3 linked regions of the Macaca fascicularis genome follow. The protein of the gene in region 1 binds, or shares a complex with, the protein of each later gene. Links are inferred from orthologs where the notes say so. Each region holds a gene or a part of one and is shown on either strand. Other genes may lie near its edges. The genes, in order: TPRKB, GON7 and OSGEP.

Region 1 (6,318 bases):
GGAGAGACGGGGGCCTCACTATTTTGCCCAGGCTGGTCTTGAACTCTTGGCCTCAAGCAAACCCCCTATTTCAGCTTCCCAAAGCACTGGGATTACAAGCATGAGCCAGCACACCTGGCCAAGAGGATTGTATTAAACAAAGGAATTAGTTTAGATTTCCATTTACCAAACTGGGAGAAGTGTGTTCGATTGCCAGTAGCTGCTACAGTACCTAGCGAACACCTAATGTACTGCAGAAAAGTAGGGGAGATCTGGGAGGAAGCCCACTTGCTGCAGATATTGGGGCTCCCTTAAGGACCCTTTTTTGACCTCTTTAGCAACTTCTTACCTGGATCGCTGGATCCTGGACTAGGTTGCTGCTCCAGGCAGACCCAATCAGCCTGTTTGTGGAGTAGTCCTCCTGGGCCTAGTAAAATGTATTCTGGCTATGGCTCAACAATGTTGCACTGACATTGTGTCTGTCAAGGTGTTAAGTCAATCTGAGAAGACAAACCTCCGCCTCCAGGTACTAGGAGGTTGGTGGGCATATGGAATGGACTAGCTGTGCTAAGGGGGATAATCTGGGTTAAGGGCATAGACTGCAGGATAGTTCTCCAGGTGGCCTTGGACAAACTTAGTTCTTTCTCCTTTCTCACTTGTGGTTCTCTAGGATAACTGTAGAATGTGCTGGGAATGTAGCATCCTGTGATAAAGAGAGACTAACCAGAACAGCCAGGGCCCTGTTCCAGTCTGTCCTAGAAATAGAATGTCCTTCATATATATACATACATACACACACACACACACACACACAATATATATATATATATATTTTAGAGGGAGTTTCACTCTTGTTGTCCAGGCTGGAGTGCAATGGCACAATCTTGGCTCACAGCAACCTCTACCTCAAAGGTTCAAGCGATTCTCCTGCCTCAGTCTCTCGAGTTGCTGGCATTACAGGTACGCACCACCATGCCTGGCTAATTTTTTTATTTTTTAGTAGAGATGGGGTTTCTCCATGTTAGTCAAGCTGGTCTCGAACTCCCAACCTGAGGTGATCTGCCCACCTCGGCCTCCCAAAGTATTGAGATTACAGGCGTGAGCCACCACGTCCGGCCGAATGTCCTTCATGTTTTAGCCCAGTGTGTCATGCCTCCCCATCTTTTTCCCCCACCCCGCCCCCCACAATTAGGCTGTTCTTGCATTGCTACAAAGAAATATCTGAGACCGAGTAATTTATATAGAAACCAGGTTAAATTGGCTCATGGTTCTGCAGGCTGTACAGGAAGCATAGTACCAGTATCTGTTTGGCTTCTAAGGAGGCCCCAGGGAGCTTTTACTTTTGGCAGAAGGAGAAGGGCGAGCAGGCACATCACACGGTGAGAACTGGAGCAAGAGACAGTGTGTGTTTGGGGGTGCCACACACTTCTAAAGAACCAGATCTCCCTAGAACTCACTCACTATTGCAAAGACACCAAGCCATAAGAGATCCACCTACATGACCCAAACACCTCCCATCAGGTCCCACCTCCAACACTGGGGATCACAATTCAACATGAGATTTGGCAGGGACATACATTCAAACTGTATCAATCCATCCCTGGACCCCCAAATCTCATGTCCTTCTCACATTGCAAAACATAATCATGACTTCCCAATCATCCCCCAAAGTTTTAACTTGTTCCAGCATTAAACTCAAAAGTCCAAAGTCCAAAGTCCAAAGTGTCACAGGAGACAAGGCCCAGAAAAAGAACGAAGAAGTCTCAGCAGGGCGTGGGGGTTCACGCCTGTAATCCCAGAACTTTGGGAGGCCAACGCGGGCTGATCACGAGATCAGGTGATCGAGACCATCCTGGCTAACACGGTGAAACCCCGTCTCTACTAAAAATACAAAAAATTAGCCGGGTGTGGTGGTCCGTGCCTGTAGTCCCAGCTGCTTGGGAGGCTGAGGCAGGAGAATGACTTGAACCCGGAGGCGGAGGTAGCAGTGAGCCGAGATTGCGCCACTGCACTCCAGCCTGAGTAACAAAGCGAGACTCTGTCTCAAAAAACAAACAACAACAACAAAAAAGAAATCTCGAGCAGCGGAAATGTATGTAGAACTCATTTTGGTCGGTACTTTTCCTTGTACAGGAAGAAACTGAGGAAGCCCGGTGCAACGCCCAACACTGATTAACACAAAGCCGAGACTCAAAACCGGACCTCAACTTCCGGTGCCAGCCCATATATGCTTCCATTGCCTTCGCCGGAAGTGATATACAGCCCCTATTCTCCTTCGCGTCCGTTGACGGGACCCAGGCTGGGAGGGCGGAAGAATGGGCGGCACGATGGGCGGAAGCACTCCTCTTACGGGGACCCGGAAAAACATGGCCACCTCGAGCCGGCCTATCCGGAAACTGTCTCGAAGAAGACGGGGATTGGCCATCGCTTCCGGAAGTTGTGAGCTTTGTTTCCGAGCGGGAGATCTTCCGAGACGCGCTGGGGGCTGAATGGTGAGTTTTCTTTGCCCACTTACGGGGCGGCTCGGGAGGGGAGGGTTCGGGCCGATTTAGTAATGTCCTTGGGACTATGGCTGCGGGTTCTTAAACTGGTATTTATCAAGCGCCAACGAGGCCAGCCCCTGGGAATGCAGCACGAGAATGATAGTCAGTCTGTCCCCTCAAGAAATATAGTTTAGTGAGGAGACATGCAACGGATAGGCGCACGATTCTTTAAAGTTGTGATTGGGCCCAAAAAGGAGCTAGTCCTCAAGACTAAAAAGAGCCGAAGTCCCGGAGTTGTGGGCGCTGAAGTAAATGATTCCAAATGGAGTTGAAAGGAGGGAGGAGTGCGTCAGGCGGAGATGAAAGGAGAGAGGGAACTACCTGTCCGATAGGGCAGAATCGGGGAGAAAGCTTGGTGACTTGAACTTAGAGAAGGCCATTGCGGCGGTAGCAGAAGAGGGAGGCAGGGACCAGATCGTAGAGTATGGAACACCGTGACGCAAAGTTGGGGGTTTATCATAAGAGCAGCAGAATGGCAAGATCTGATGGTCATTTTGAAAGGATCACTAGAACTGCGGGTGAAGACTGGATTATAGGAGGGCAGGAATTGTGAGAAACCACTCAGGAGGCTACTGCTGTAGATGAGCGGTGTGACCTAGCTTATGGGAGAGAAGTGGACGAATCAAAAGTATATTTAGCAGGTGAAAATTCAGGACTTTACGGATTAGATATAGGATTTGAGTGACAGGTTGGGTACTCAACGATGATTCCAGGTTTCTGGACTGAGTGAATTATGCTAAACAAGAAGAAACTATTTTGAGATTTTTCTAAGGATTCTTTCCCCCACCCCCAGTGTTAAAAACCACATTTTTTTCCCCTTTCTTATGATGTCTACTCATGTGTTGTATGCTCACTGTAGAAAATTCAGAACATACATAACAAAATACTTTCTTTTGTATAAAGGACAATAAAAATCACCTCATAACCTCACTACCCAAGATGGTCATATTTTAGTGTTTCCTTCATGTGTTTTTAAAAAATATGTGTATCTTTTTATATATTGGTATCCTACTGATTATATCTTTGTGTATCCATTTTTTTCCTCTTAGCATGAGTAATGATTGAACTGTGGCCAGGATATTGTTCACAAATATTTTTTTTCCTGTTTGTAGCAGAAAAAGTCAAGTTGATTCTAAGTAAGAGATAACGTTAGCTTTCTGGTGTGTTTTCTTTGTAATATTTGTTTAAAAGCTTTTTAAAAAACTCACATGTTGGCCAGTTTGTGTTTTGTTTTCCATTCAGATGTTTTTACTTAATGTTATTTATTGCCATTTTTACACAACGTCAAGACCACATGTTTTAATGGTTGTTAAATCACAACCAATCCCATCATTAGCTAGATAGGTTATTTTCAACTTTTTACTGTTAAAATAATGAGAGGAACATCTTATATAATTCTTGGATTCCTAATGACTTCCATCAGTAAGAGTTCTAGAAATATAATCTGCCAGGTAAAAGGATAAAATGAGTCTCAAATTGCCCCACCAAAATATCTTATTAAGAATTTGATAGAACTTGTTTTAAAGAAATTTTTGCAATACATAGTTTTTCCATTCAAAGATATGGTCATGTCTTTCTAGTTAATTCAAATTGTCTTTTATGTCTTTATATATAATAACCTATCCTTTTCTTGTTAAGCTTATGTCCAAGAAAGGAGCAATATTGATTATTTAATACCCTCTCTGCTTAATTTCCATGTGTGGAATTAATATCTTTGGGTCAAGTGTGATACTTTATTCTTTTTTTTTTTTTTTTTGAGACTGAGTTTCACTCTTGTTGCCCAGGCTGGAGTGCAATGGTGCAATCTTGGCTCACTGCAACCTCCGCCTCCCAGGTTCAAGTGATTCTCCTGCCTCAGCCTCCTGAGTAGCTGTGATTACAGGCATGTGCCACCATGCCTGGCTAATTTTTTTGGTATTTTTAGTAGAGATGGGGTTTCTTCATGTTGGTCAGACTGGTCTCAAATTCCCGACCTCAGGTGATCTGCTCTTCTTGGCCTCCCAGAGTGCTGGGATTACAGGCGTGAGCCACCATGCCCGGCCTGCTTTATTCTTTAAAATTATTTTCTTCCTTAATATTTAGTCTAGGCCTTCCTAAAATATAAATAAAATGATGAGATCAGGAATTTAAAAAGACTAAGATAGAGTAAGACTTCATTAATACCATAAATAACCTCTGGTTTAAAAAATTCCTGACATTCTGCTCCTGCTTGTCTGCTGGGGAAGCAGCCCTTCAACCATGCATCTGAGCCTGCCTTATCTGAACAAACAGCAACCAGCTGGGCCCTTTGGCGTTTCCCTGGGAATGGCAGTGGAACTAGAAACAGCTCAAAAGGGTTAGGAAGACAACATCTCATGAGGATGCCAAATGGGCTTTGGCGATGGATTTTTCTAATTTAAAACTTTTTATCATGTTGTTATCAAAGTTATTGAATATTTGTTAAGAAATGAGTTATAATGTTAACTTTTAAATAAACGAAATCTTTTGGTCTTTTCATTTTGTGTGCAGTAGAATCCTGCTTATCTGTGAAATGCAGTTAACACATCAGCTGGACCTATTTCCTGAATGCAGGGTAACCCTTCTGTTATTTAAAGATGTAAAAAATGCGGGAGACTTGAGAAGAAAGGCCATGGAAGGCACCATCGATGGATCACTGATAAATCCTACAGTGGTAAATATAAATTGTAAGAATGAATGAGCTGGCTGGGTGCGGTGGCTCATGCCCATAATCCCAGCACTTTAGGAGGCCGAGGTGGGTGGATCACCTGAGGTCAGGAGTTGAAGACAAGCCTGGCCAACATAGTGAAACCCTGTCTCAACTAAAAATACAAAAATTAGCTGGACGTGGTGGCGGGTGCCTATAATCCCAGCTACTCGGGAGGCTGAGGCAGGAGAATCATTTGAACCCGGGCGGCGGAGGTTACGGTGAGTCAAGATTGCGCCATTGCACTCCAGCCTGGGCGACAAGAGTGAAACTGTCTCAAAAAAAAAAAAAAAAAAAAAAAAAAAAAAGCCAGGCGTGGTGGCTCACGCCTGTAATCCCAGCACTTTGGGAGGCCGAGGTGGGCAGATCACGAGGTCAGGAGTTTGAGACCAGTCTGGCCAATATGGTGAAACCCTGTCTCTACTAAAAATACAAAAATTAGCTGAACGTGGTGGTGGGCACCTGTACTCGGGAGGCTGAGGCAGGATAATCGCTTGAGCCTGGGAGGCAGAGGTTGCAGTGAGCCGAGATCACGCCACTGCACTCCAGCCTGGGCAACAGAGCAAGACTGTGTCTCAAAACAAAACAAAACAAACAAACAAAAAAACAATGAATGAACCATACAGGCCATTTAAGTATACGTTAATATTTGTGATGTTATAGGGTAGCCTAAAATTCTGTCACTGTTAGGGAAAAAATTCTTGTCCAAGTCAGATGCAGCCAACCTGGACTATAACAGTGAATAGAGGCAGAAGTGCCAGGTCCTGCCCTAGGAAGGAGGAAAGGTTGTGGTCTGGGTCTAACATGGGAAATGCCTGGATCTCCAGCTTCTTATCTTTAAAATGGGGGTTCTTAACAAGACAGTCTGTAGAGGAGGCATAGCGTAGTGGTTAAGAGCACACACAGAGGCCAAGGGGTGTGGATTGCTTGAGGCCAGGAGTTTGAGACCAGTGTGGCCTACATAGTGAAACCCTGTCTCTACTAAAAATACAAAAAGTAGCTGGGCATGGTGGTGTGTGCTGGTAGTCCCAGCTACTCGGGAGGCTGAGGCACAAGAATCACTTGAACCTGGGAGGCGGAGGTTGCAGTGAG
Region 2 (6,336 bases), on another chromosome or scaffold:
CTAAATCAAAGCATGGCTACAGGAGGAGAGGAAATATCCAAATTGTAATCAACGCAGATTATTTACTTAAGGCCTTCCATTTGTACCTGTATACATACTATATCACAGCACAAAAGCATACCCTACCCCATCTGGCTCTCTTAAGGTACATGATAAATCAGATTAATGCACATTCATCAAGCGGCATCATCTCAGGATATCTGTATCTTTGACATGGGTATGAATTCAGGGTTTCCTTGGGTCTCTTTCAAGGACTCTCTCTTCAGTATTTCTATTTCCTCATTTTCCTTCTATTTATGAAGAACTGTTATTTTTACATTTAATGCCCACTTTTCACCACTTGTTCATGTCAGTTCTCTGAAATGTTACTGCCTATGAACCATGACGTACTGTTTATAACAGAAGCAGAAGTTAAAAGATGTAGACATCACACAAACCAATGGTTATTTTAAAAATAGAAAACAATGATAAAAATTCAGTTGCCAACTTAAGAGGATTTTATATATTATGAAGTGTTCTATTTTCCTCCCACGGTCTGAAATTTATTTCTCAAGAAAACAGATTTTATTTCTAAGCCTTTACTGTCTTTGCTAGAAACAGAAAAACCAGTTTTCTCTTTGGCAAAATTGTCCCAGGAAAACAACACAAATGCTTTTCCAAATTAGAGCATAAGTCTTCCTTAAATGTCCTAGTGTGACAATTGGGATACAACAGCCATCTTTTAAATGTCATAAAGGCTATTGTTAAGATGGTGGTTTTGGCCGTTTTGCAGATGGTCCATCGAAGTTAGTTCTGTTATCAATGTTATTTTCATCTTCGGCATCATCTTCATCATCACCTTTTAAAATAAATATTTGTTGTATGACAATACGTTCTATGGTTGAAAGAAATATATATAGCTAAAGTGGTTGATAACGAGACCATTTCACTTTAGAGATTAATAAAACCATGCACATTTTAGATTAAAATGATTTTGAGAATTTCAGTGTTTAAAATCTTTATTTTCTATCACTTTCCTCTTTGGAAATATTAACTCATTCATCATAAAATCCAGTCTCTTTTTTTTTTTGAGATGGAGTCTTTCTCTGTTACCAGGCTGGAGTGTAGTGGCGCGATCTCAGCTTACTGCAACCTCTGCCTCCAGGGTTCAAGTGATTCCCGTCTCAGCCTCCCAAGTAGCTGGGATTACAGGCACGCGCTACCATGCCCGGCTAATTTTTTGTATTTTAGTAGAGACAGCGTTTCACCATGTTGGCCAAGATGGTCTCGATCTCCCGACCTCGTGATCTGCATGCCTTGGCCTCCCAAACTGCTGGGATTACAGGCATGAACCACTGTAGCCGGCCAAAATCCACTTTTAAAAGTGTACCGCTTAGTGGTTTTTAGTATATTCACTAGATTGTGCAACCATCACCACTCTCTAATCCTAGAACACTTTCATCACTCCAAAGAGAAATGAATTATGCCCATTAGCAGTCACTTTCCCTCAGCCTTCGGCAACCACTAATCTACTTTTGTTCCCCCTTAATTTTTATTAGTGAGAGGGTCTTGCTATGTTGCCCAGGCTAGACTCAAACTCCCAGGTTCAAGTGATCCTCCTGTGTCAGCCTCTAGAGTAGCTGGGACTACAGGTGCCCACCACTGCACCCAGCTCACTAATCTCTCTCTATGGATTTGCCTATTCTGTACATTCATATAAACAAAATCATATAACATGTACCCTTCTGTGTCTGGCTCTCACTGTAGCATAATGTTTTCAAGGTTCATTCATGTTGTAGCACGTATTAATACTTCATTACCTTTTATTGCTAATAATATTCCATTGTATGGATACACCACATTTTGTTAATGCACTCATCAGTTGATGGATATTTGCATTATTTCTATTTTTTAAAATTATCATTATTTTTAGAGATGAAGCGATGGGGCCTCACTCTGTCCTCCAGGCTGGAGTGCAGTGGAACAATCAGCCCACTGCAGCTTCAAACTCTTGGGTTCACGTGATCCTCCCACCTCCTAAAGGTGCAACACCAAGCCCGGTCAATTGTTGTTTCCACATTTTAGTCACTATAAATGCTGCTGCTATGAACATTCATGTGTAAGTTTTTGTGTGAACATACTTTCCAGTTCTCTTGCGAGGACTACCAGTGGAACTGCTGGGTCATGTGGTAACTTCATATCAACTTTTTGAGGAGCTACCAAACTCTTTTTCCCAGTGGTTACACTGTTTTACATTTCCACCAACAATGTACAAGATCTCCAATTTCTCCACATTCCAGCCAACACTTGTTATTGTTCTTTTTGATCATAGCCAACATCCATATTATCAAGATGTAATTCCCAAGATGGAAGGAAAGTACAGTTTAAGCTCTTCTTAGAGAATTGTAAATCCTAACTCTAATATCTATTCTTGGATTTTTCAGCTCAGGACAGTTAAAATGTACCTGCCTGGCCAGGTGCAGCAGCTCAGGCTTGTAATTCCAGCACTTTGGGAGGCCAAGGCAGGTGGATCACGAGGTTAGGAGTTCGAGACCAGCCCGGCCAACACAGTGAAACCCTGTCTCTACTGAAAATACAAAAACTAGCTGGGAGTGGTGGCGGGCGCCTGTAATCTCAGCTACTTGGGAGGCTGAGACAGGAGAATCACTTGAACCCGGGAAGCAGAGGTTGCAGTGAGCCGAGATTGTGCCACTGCACTCCAGCCTGGGCAACAGAGCTAGACTCCATTTCAAAAAAAAAAAAAGTACCTGCCTATTTCTGCATTCGAGGCAATTTTTAAAAAATAATGCAGTTAAACTTCACGTTTCTACTTTCAAACTGCACCTACAAAACTGGAAAGGCAAGGGAGTCTCTAGGAGTTAATACATGTTAAAATTAAGTCTGTCCCACTCCTTGGAACCTGTTCCTACTCTGCGATAGATTGTACTCTTCCAAATATGTCTGTAGTTTCACACCTGATAAAACTCCTTTTTATTCAATACTCCAGCTCAAAAGTCTTATCCTCTTTGAAGCCTTCCGAGGGTCTCTGGGTTTGCAACACTTACAGAGGGCCATAGAACCACGTTCTTTTTTTTTTTTTTTTGAGACGGAGTCTCGCTCTGTAGTCCAGGCTGGAGTGCAGTGGCACGATCTCGGCTCACTGCAACTTCCGCCTCCCGGGGTCAAGCGATTCTTCTGCCTCAGCCTCCCCAGTAGCTGGGATTACAGGTGCCCGCCACCACTCCCAGCTAATTTTTGTATTTTTAGTAGAGACAGGGTTTCACCATATTGGCCAGGCTGGTCTCGAACTCCTGACCTCGTGATCCGCTCGCCTCAGCCTCCCAAAGTGCTGGGATTACAGGCGTGAGCTACCAGCCTGGCCACTTTCACTTTTAATAAGAGTGTCTGCCTGTATAATCCCCTTGTGTTTCACAAGGGCAGGAACTGAGTCGCATTGACCTCATTCTTCCTCCAGGGCTCAGCTCAGGGTTTGGCAAATAGTAGTAGGCATTCGGCAAGTTTTTTAGTGAAATAAATGAAATAGCGATGAGTCGTGGAAATGTTTGAGTAGAAGCAGCCCAAATATAGTGATAAATGCCAACAATTTTTATTTTTTAAATTATCTTTGAAATAACAATGGAAACGGGGTCTCGATATGTTGCCCTGGCTGTTCTGGAACTCCTGACCTCAAGTGATCCTCCTGCCTCGCCCTCCCAAAGTGTTGGGATTACAGGAGTGAGCCCCACTTCGCCTGGCCCGCCAAAAATTTTTAGATGCAATTCTTCTTTCCTCGAGGCTCACTTTGTCCAAGTCTGCCACTCTACACGGGCTCCCCAAGCCAATTTCCCCTGGCTCCCGCCCCGTCCTCCTGTCGCTGCAGCACCGTCTCAGAGCTCACCGTCCAGGGCCTCGTCTGGAGCCGCCGCCACCCGGTGCTGCACTTCCGCCTGTACCAGGGGGCCGAATAATTCCGTTACCAGCTCCTTCATCTGGGCCACGCCAGACAATAGGCCCTGGAAAGGGTCGCCGTCACCCGGCGCCTCACAGGACACCCGCAGCTTCTGCGGCTTCCCTTCCTGCCCGACATACTCTCCCAGCAGCTCCATGGTGACCACTAAGCTTCCAGAACACGACACCGGGAAGCGCCACCCGGAGGCGGAAATCAGCCCGTGGCCTGCGCAGGCGGCAGAAGGGAGAGGAGTGACATCCGTTTGTCGGAAGTCGCTCCTCCCCCTTCCTTCGCCTTTTTTCCTTGTCATTGGTTCCTGGCACTCGGGCCCCGCCTCCTCCGGCTACGCCCCTCGTGGCCGCTTTTCCCGCCTCCGCCGGGGCCGAGCCGCGGTTCGGGTGACAGTTGAGGATGGCCGGAGCCGAGGGCTCCGCTGGGCGGCAGTCGGAGCTGGAGCCCGTGGTATCGTTGGTCGACGTCCTCGAGGAGGACGAGGAGCTGGAGAATGAGGCGTGTGCTGTCCTGGGCGGCAGCGACTCCGAGAAGTGCTCCTACTCGCAGGTGGGCACGCGGCCCGGGCCTTGTCTCCCGCGGCTCCCGCCGAACCTCCCCTTCCCGGCCCGGCTGTCCCTATTCCCGCCTGCCGCAGTCGTCTCCCCAGTGGTGGTCCGGGGCCGCCGTTAGTCTGCCGCTTCCTTACCCCAAGCCCACCCTTCCCTTTTATCCCCAACCTCCTGGGCCCCCTTCAGCCTGTGTCCAGCAGGGGCCCCCATCTCCCCTCTCTCTAACTCTGTCCGGCCAGCCAGGAAGGACCCTGGAGCAGCTGCTCTGTCCGTCCTCTCCAGCCTCGTCCTGGTGCACCACTGCTTTTCACGAAACCAGCCCGCGACCTCTCAGATCCAGACATCTTTGTCCCTGCTTTTCCCATCCTAAGATTATTTATTTATTTATTAGGGACCAAATGGGAGACGTCAGGTTAAAGAGATTTTCAAATCCATAGGGATTTGCGGTGAGCTCCTTGACAGCTAGTTCCTCTGCAATTTAGTTTGACAAGTGCTAGCTAGTACTTTTTCTTTCTTTTTTTGGCAAAATGGAGCAAGTACCCATGTCTGTCTGCAGTCTGCCCTCCTCCCCTGGAAATAGACCGGAAACAGAACAGCAAGTGGCTCTGGCAGGGGAGGGGAGAGAGGAGAAAAGGATCTATTTGGCATTTGGAAGACGTTGTGAGTGAGCAAGTGTTTGAGGGGGTGTGATGTGTTTAGTGACTCACCCTATACTTCGAGGCACAAAAATGGAAAAGGATGGGTAGGAAGAAGACTGACAAAGGATAAGAACTGGCAGGAAGAAGGGTTACCGAGGCAGAGGGGTGGATTGGAACACTGGGGAGATGAGAGGAGAGACTTGCATTCATTATGTGGTATGAACTGAGGTCATAATACCAGTTCTCGTTGTTGACCAAGTTTAGTTTACACTGCAAAGTGCTAGATTGTTGAATAAACCTGGTATCCAGACATAGCCCCAGGTACTTTAAAACCTTTGGTCACCACTAAAACAATTTTTCGCCTGCTTTCCTTAAAAAAAAAAAAAAAAGTTCTAAGTCTGTATGTAAACTATTTTTGAAGTGTAGTTACCTTTATAAAATGGATTCCCTTAATGTTTTCTTTTTATTGTGGTAAAAAAAAAATATGGAAATTTGCACAAATCATGTACACAGCTTGAAAGGAAAGTGTGCATGTTCCCACCACCCAGATCAACAAATAGAACATTAGGAGTGCAAAAGGCTTATTGGAAAAGAACTTAAAAAAAAAGAGAAAAGAAAGAAATAGAATTTTACTGGCATCCCGGAAGCCTCCTTGTCTATTCTTCCTCCTTCCTAGAGGAAGGTAACTATACCTATTATACATATTCACTTTTTTTTTTTTTTTTTGAGATGGAATTTCACTCTTGCCACCCAGGCTGGAGTGCAATGTCATGATCTTGGCTCACCGCAACCTCCACCTCCCGGGTTCAAGCGATTCTCCTGTCTCAGCCTCCCGAGTAGCTGGGATTACAGATGCCCGCCACCACGGCCAGCTAATTTTTATATTTTTAGTAGATGGGGTTTTTTAGAGATGGGGTTTCACCACGCTGACCAGGCTGGTCTTGAACTCGTGACCTGAGGTGATCTGCCCACCTTGGCCTCCCAAAGGGCTGGGATTACAGGCGTGAGCACTGCACCCAGCCTACATATTCACTTTTTAACATTTTGTCACATTTATCTCCTTTTCTACTTAAAATTTGTTGTTTTAAAATTTTGAACTATTTAAAAATAAGTTGCAGACATGATGACACTATACCTCTAAATACTTCAGCATGCATCTCCTAAAAATCAAAGAGATTCTTTGCATGTGTTGATTCTCTCTTTGGTG
Region 3 (6,666 bases), on another chromosome or scaffold:
TGCGGTGAGCCAAAGTCGCACCATTGCACTCCAACCTGTACAATAAGAGCAAAACTCCGTTGCAAATAAATAAATAAGATAAAATAAAATACCTTCTATAATTTATAAAGTATTTTTATAGTTATTTATATTTCTGAACTTTTAGAACAACAAAGTCTATATAATCATCCCCAGTAATACAAAAACAAAACATGTAGTTGCCCTAAAATAATAAATCAGGTAGCGTCCCTTAGTTCCTTATTTTTTTTTTTTTTTGAGACAGAGTTTTGCTCTCATTGCCCAGGCTGGAGTGCAATGGTGTGATCTCGGCTCACTGCAACCTCCACTTCCTGGTTCAAGCAATTCTCCTGCCCAGCCTCCCAACTTGCTGGGATTACAGGCACCTGCTACCACGCCAAATTAATTTTTGTTATTTCTAGTAGAAATGGGGTTTTGCCATGTTGGCCAGGCTGGTCTCAAACTCCTGACCTCAGATGATCCACCCACCTTGACCTCCCAAAGTGCTGGAATTACAGGTGTGAGTTGCCATGCCCAGTAACCGTTAGTTTCAGTTGCTAAGATTTACAGAAAAAATAAGCTTCAAAATAATGCAAGATCTTTCAGATATTCATTATTTTGAAGGCTTCAATCCTTACCATTCATTCCTTTCCTGAAGTAGAAATTCCTAATCTTTATGATCAGATATAAAGTCTGATAATGATAAGTCATCTAATGTTCTGAACATGCTGCCAAAATTTGCAATGTTACAAACTCGGTTGGGAGTTTTCTGGTCTACAGTATTTTAGGTTCAGATGAGTTCAGCTTTGTTCCTGACATTCCCATGACTCAGATAGAACGAAGAAGATATTGGTTCAGTGCCTCGGAAATTGAGATGGAATGGGTAGAGCACTCTAAATACCTGTGTATTTCCTCCACTGACATACAACACGGTTGGGCTGGTGGCTCCAGTGATGAGGCGGCCCATCTCGATGTGGCCTATACAGTGGTTCACACCCACCAATGGCTTATTCCACAGTTGGGCCACAGTACGGGCCACAACAGCCACAGAAACCAGTGGGGCACCCATGCCAGGGCCTAGGGAGATAGAAATGGAAGTTACAATGCTAGAGATTGGAAAAAAAATAGGTGGGGGAAGTAAGGGATGTGAGGTGGGGTAGGGGTAGTGGTGGTGGCAGAGGTAAGGTGTTGGCTATTTTGACCTAGCCAGGTTGCAGGTATATTCCTCCATCGTTGACCACTCTCCCAGCCATACCCTTGGTGTATGCAATGCAATCGATATCCTGGGAGGTTAATCCAGACTCTGTTAGTGCCTCCTGCAGCAGGTCTAGGATAACAGCTCGGTGATGCCTGGCTGTATCACCTGGAAGGAATCCTAGAAAATGAACACAGGTCAGAGATCACAGGGATTTTTGGTAGCAAAGGTAGGTAGGAAGTTAAAGAAAGCAACAGGAGGTTTAGTGATGTAGTAAGAGTCCTTTCACTTTCCCCAAGCATCCTATCTTCCACATTTTCGGATACACTCTTTCCAGCTTCTATATAGGCTGTTCAACTTTCAGAAATTCTCTTCCTCTTACCCTACTCAGCCTTCATGTCTCAATGCAAGTGGTATCTACCCATACCCTTTGGTGATCTTTTTTTTTTTTTTTTTTTTTTTGAGACGGAGTCTAGCTCTGTCACCCAGGCTAGAGTGGCCTGGTGCGATCTCGGCTCACTGCAAGCTCCACCTCCTGGGTTCATGCCATTCTCCTGCCTCAGCCTCCCAAGTAGCTGGGACTACAGGTGCCCACCACTGCACCCGGCTAATTTTTTGTACTTTCAGAAGAGACGGGGTTTCATTGTGGTCTCGATCTCCTGACCTCATGATCCACCCGCCTCGGCCTCCCAAAGTGCTGGGATTACAGGTGTGAGCCACCGCGCCCCGCCTTTTTTTCTTTCTTTTGAGACGGAGTCTTGTTCTGATGCCCAGGCTGGACTGCAGTGGCACGATCTCGGCTCACTGCAACCTCCGCCTCCTGAGTTCAAGCAATTCTTCTGCCTTAGCCTCCCAAACAGCTGGGACTACAGGCGACGCCACCACACCCAGCTAATTTTTGTATTTTTAGTAGAGACGGGGTTTCACCATATTGGCCAGGCTGGTCTCAAACTCCTGACCTCGTGATCCGTCTGCCCTGGCCTTCCAAAGTGCTGGGATTACAGGCCTGAGCCATCGCGCCCAGCCTGGTGACCTTCTTTCTCTGTGACCCTACAGAACTCTGTGCATGATGATGTCATTTATTTAACAATTACAACATAATAATTTTCTGTGGTTTGCTCAGCTTAATCATGAGTATCTCAAAGCAGTAAGTATTTTGTTTATCTTTGTATTCCCAGTGCCCAAGTGCCTAGAGGAGTGAATGCTAAACATACATACCTATTTCTAATGAGTAATCTGTCACATCACCTGTTCAGGGAGGCTTTTCAGATACATGCAAATCAGTCGCCCCTCTCCTATGTATGCAAGTGTTTGAGGGGAGAGTAGGCAAGACACAATGGCTTATTAAAAGTGGTAACGTGTTTTGTACTTTCTTTTTTCTTTTTTTTTTTTTGAGACGGAGTTTCACTCTTGTTGCCCAGGCTGGAGTGCAATGGCATGATCTCGGCTCACCACAACCTCAGCCTCCCGAGTAGCTGGGTTAACAGGCATGTGCCACCACGCCCGGTTAATTTTTTGTATTTTTTAGTGGAGACAGGGTTTCTCCATATTGGTCAGGCAGTTCTTGAACTCCGACCTCAGGTGATCCACCCCGCCTGGGCCTCCCAAAGTGCTGGGATTACAGGCGTGAGCCACCACACCCAGACGTATTTGGTACTTTCATCTAATCTTCAAGACCTAATGATACAGGTATTATTCCCATTTTAAAAACAAAGACTAGGCCCGGGCGGTGGCTCATGCCTGTAATTTTCACACTTTGGGAGGCTGGGGTGGGCGGATCATCTGAGGTCAGGAGTTCGAGACCAGCTTGGCCAACATGGTGAAGCCCCGCCTCTACTAAAAATACAAAAATTAGCTGGGTGTGGTAGCACACACCTGTCTGTAGTCCTAGCTACTCGGGAGGCTGGGGTAGAAGAATCTCTTGAATCTGGGAGGCAGAGCTTGCAGTAAGCCGAAATCGTGCCATTGCATTCCAGCCTGGGCAACAGAGCAAGACTGTCTCAAAAACAAATTAAAATAAAAAATAAAGACCAAATGTCCAAAACATAAATATTTAATGTGAATACAGCACAGCCAGCCAGTTCTCTGACATGTAAGCTGGGAGTCTTTCCACTCTCATCTCTCTACTCATCCTAGAATATTTCAAAAAATAAATTTTTTTTAAAAAGGAGTGTATATTCAGGGCAACTGGAATATATACTCCTGCTAAGCGTTTTTTAAACAGAATATTTCGAGTCCATCTCTATTACACTGTTTATCATGCTGTAGTATAAACATCTATTTATATGTCTGACTCCACAGCAGTATCATAACATCTATTTCTGAATGCTTAGCACATAAAATGAGCTCAATAAACGGTAAACGAACTCATCAGATCCACGTCCAAGTGCTTGTAACTCTTCTAGTCATCAGCCTTGTGACGTTAATAATATCACATAATTTCAATAAGACTCAGATCAAAAGCTGCACCTCACTAGTATTTAGGAAGATGGAAGGCTGATTTTCTGCGGGGAAGTGCGCCGAAAACTCTTAACTCCCCTACTCACCCACCTGTGCCCGGAGGCGTGACATAAGTCCGCCGCGGGTTCGCCAGCACCTTGCCATCCCGCACCACACCCACGCCAATCTTATTGGCGCTGCCTTCAAAACCCAGCACCGCCGGCATGGCGGAGCCTGGGAGAAAACGCCGACAGGACTCCTAGCAACGTCAGGAGCTGTGGAAGTCCTCACTAGTCTGCGCTGGGCCGCAGCTTTCCGGAGCGCAGAGGAAGCGGGCTAGCCTGCAGATAACAGTGGGAAAGACAGCGCAGAACTCCCGCGAGCGGAGACCCGCCAAGGCCCCTCCAAGGACCTGTCTTCCTAACTGCCAGGGACGCCGAGCCGACTCTGTGCTTTACAATCCTGTCCGTTTTCCTATATCTTTCCCGTGGTCCAGCCCAACCTTCTCCACTTTTTTTTCCCTTTGCACAGCGTTAGACTCTTAAGTCAGAGTCAAACAATGTGCCGTGCGTCGGGCACAACGATAAACAGCCCGAACGAGGGTTGGGGCCCTAGGTCTCCTAGAGAATTAGTTGAGAGAGGCAAGGCCAAGCGACTTCGTCACGTGGTGTCAGACAGACCAATCACGCGCATTCTTCGGCCATGTGACGCGTGCCTCTGATCACGTGACCAGGTCCGCTACCCACGTGGGGGGCTCAGCGTGCATCCTTCTTTGTGCTCGGGTTAGGAGGAGCTAGGCTGCCATCGGACCGGTGCAGATACGGGGTTGCTCTTTTGCTCATAAGAGGGGCTTCGCTGGCAGTCTGAAGGGCAAGCTTGAGTCAGGACCCTTAATTAAGATCCTCAATTGGCTGGAGGGCAGATCTCGCGAGTAGGGTACAAGGCACTATGAAATGATCTAGTTACGTGGGTGAGGGGCTGAAGGGCCTATGATGCACGGAGGCGGGGAAAGGATTTAGAGATAACATGGTTTGAAAGGCGGGACCTGGTGCGGGGACGCTCTTGAGAGGAGTCTTCTCCCCAGGCTTAGCTGGTTTCATGATTTCTTTGCGTCTGTAGGCAACGCGGTAAAAATACTGCTTTGGTGGGCGACGCGGTACAGGTGCCGAAGAGCGTTCGTTACGGGAATGCCGAAGCGTGGGAAAAAGGGAGCGGTGGCAGAAGACGGGGATGAGCTCAAGACAGGTAAGAATGAAATGAGCCCCTCTTCCTAGAAGCTACGGCGGGGTTGTTTGTAATTCCCTTGATGAACGGTAAGTACCGGCCAACTCATTTTTGCAGGGGTTTGTGAAGACGCAGTAACCGCAGGCTTTCGTTGGGTCCATAGCTAACGCCGGATCGCGGTTGGAAACCACCCACTTTTTGTCAATATATATTACTCATTTTATAGAGCCAGAGCCCAAGAAGAGTAAGACGCCCGCAAAGAAAAATGACAAGGAGGCAGCAGGAGAGGGCCCAGCCCTGTATGAGGACCCCCCCGATCAGAAAACCTCACCCAGTGGCAAACCTGCCACACTCAAGATCTGCTCTTGGAACGTGGATGGGCTTCGAGCCTGGATTAAGAAGAAAGGATTAGATGTGAGTGGTGTTTGAGGGGAAGACACATTCTTTAGTATTGAATGATCTTAGGGTTTAGTCATCCCTTTTCTCCGTATAGCCTTCAGGCTGTTTTTTCTCCTGCCTGCAGTTTTCGGTGGGGCTTCCCCAGTCTTGCCAGTTGTATTTCCTAAATGTCTGCTCCTTCACTTCCATTGCCATTTTCTTTTTTAATGTTCTCTCCTCTTCCCAGAATGTTGCAAAAACCTTTTACTATACTTCCTCCATTTTATCTTCAGCATGTCCTCCATTTCATTAATTATAGCTTAAAAATCTTAGCTTGCCTATAGAAAAAACACATTCATAGTATAGCACGTAAGACTTTACCTCTGTTTTCATTTATCTAGCTTCGAATTGTTTAAATATTATTTAACCTCGAACTGCTTGACTGTTTAACCTGTGCATATTTATGACTTAGCATATATTCAATAAATGTTCTGCTGAATTGATAATACATTTTCCACCTTTCTTTTACTTATAGTGGGTAAAGGAAGAAGCCCCAGATATACTGTGCCTTCAAGAGACCAAATGTTCAGAGAACAAACTACCAGCTGAACTTCAAGAGCTGCCTGGACTCTCTCATCAATACTGGTCCGCTCCTTCGGACAAGGAAGGATACAGTGGCGTGGGCCTACTTTCCCGCCATTGCCCACTCAAAGTTTCTTATGGCATAGGTGAGACCCTATTGATGCCTAATGCCTGAACTCTTCAAGACCAATTGCTAATTCTCCATCTCTCCCCCACCTCTTGATTGCTTTTCCTTTTCTTACAGTTTTTTATGCTAATTCTGTTTCGTTTCTGTAGGCGAGGAGGAGCATGATCAGGAAGGCCGGGTGATTGTGGCTGAATTTGACTCGTTTGTGCTGGTAACAACGTATGTACCTAATGCAGGCCGGGGTCTGGTACGACTGGAGTACCGGCAGCGCTGGGATGAAGCCTTTCGCAAGTTCCTGAAGGGCTTGGCTTCCCGAAAGCCCCTTGTGCTGTGTGGAGACCTCAATGTGGCACATGAAGAAATTGACCTTCGCAACCCCAAGGGTAACAAAAAGAATGCTGGCTTCACGCCACAAGAGCGCCAAGGCTTTGGGGAATTACTGCAGGCTGTGCCACTGGCTGACAGCTTTAGGCACCTCTACCCCAACACACCCTATGCCTACACCTTTTGGACTTACATGATGAATGCTCGATCCAAGAATGTTGGTTGGCGCCTTGATTACTTTTTGTTGTCCCACTCTCTGTTACCTGCATTGTGTGATAGCAAGATCCGTTCCAAGGCCCTCGGCAGTGATCACTGTCCTATCACCCTATACCTAGCACTGTGACACCACCCCTAAATCACTTTGAGCCTGGGAAATAAGCCCCCTCAACTACCATTCCTT

The links.
Region 2: TPRKB (region 1) and GON7 share a complex: the UniProt entries of both Homo sapiens proteins name them as parts of the EKC/KEOPS complex. The link is inferred for Macaca fascicularis from reciprocal best matches to the Homo sapiens genes TPRKB and GON7.
Region 3: TPRKB (region 1) and OSGEP share a complex: the UniProt entries of both Homo sapiens proteins name them as parts of the EKC/KEOPS complex. The link is inferred for Macaca fascicularis from reciprocal best matches to the Homo sapiens genes TPRKB and OSGEP.

Annotation. Positions count from the first base shown.
Region 1 is NC_088387.1:48,235,619-48,241,936, forward strand, and holds the start of TPRKB (EKC/KEOPS complex subunit TPRKB), read left to right. Parts: upstream 1-2,411; 5' UTR 2,412-2,471; intron 2,472-5,030; 5' UTR 5,031-5,052; coding exon 5,053-5,193; intron 5,194-6,318. UniProt on the Homo sapiens protein: Component of the EKC/KEOPS complex that is required for the formation of a threonylcarbamoyl group on adenosine at position 37 (t(6)A37) in tRNAs that read codons beginning with adenine.
Region 2 is NC_088381.1:161,205,048-161,211,383, forward strand, and holds the start of GON7 (EKC/KEOPS complex subunit GON7), read right to left. Parts: upstream 4,144-6,336; 5' UTR 4,086-4,143; coding exon 3,878-4,085; intron 839-3,877; coding exon 744-838; 3' UTR 1-743. Other genes in the region: putative E3 ubiquitin-protein ligase UBR7, read left to right, coding at 4,340-4,489. UniProt on the Homo sapiens protein: Component of the EKC/KEOPS complex that is required for the formation of a threonylcarbamoyl group on adenosine at position 37 (t(6)A37) in tRNAs that read codons beginning with adenine.
Region 3 is NC_088381.1:88,042,198-88,048,863, forward strand, and holds the start of OSGEP (tRNA N6-adenosine threonylcarbamoyltransferase), read right to left. Parts: upstream 4,010-6,666; 5' UTR 3,858-4,009; coding exon 3,743-3,857; intron 1,373-3,742; coding exon 1,253-1,372; exon of another isoform or gene 1,200-1,252; intron 1,075-1,199; coding exon 899-1,074; intron 1-898. Other genes in the region: DNA repair nuclease/redox regulator APEX1, read left to right, coding at 4,819-4,876, 5,082-5,269, 5,769-5,961, 6,092-6,609. UniProt on the Homo sapiens protein: Component of the EKC/KEOPS complex that is required for the formation of a threonylcarbamoyl group on adenosine at position 37 (t(6)A37) in tRNAs that read codons beginning with adenine.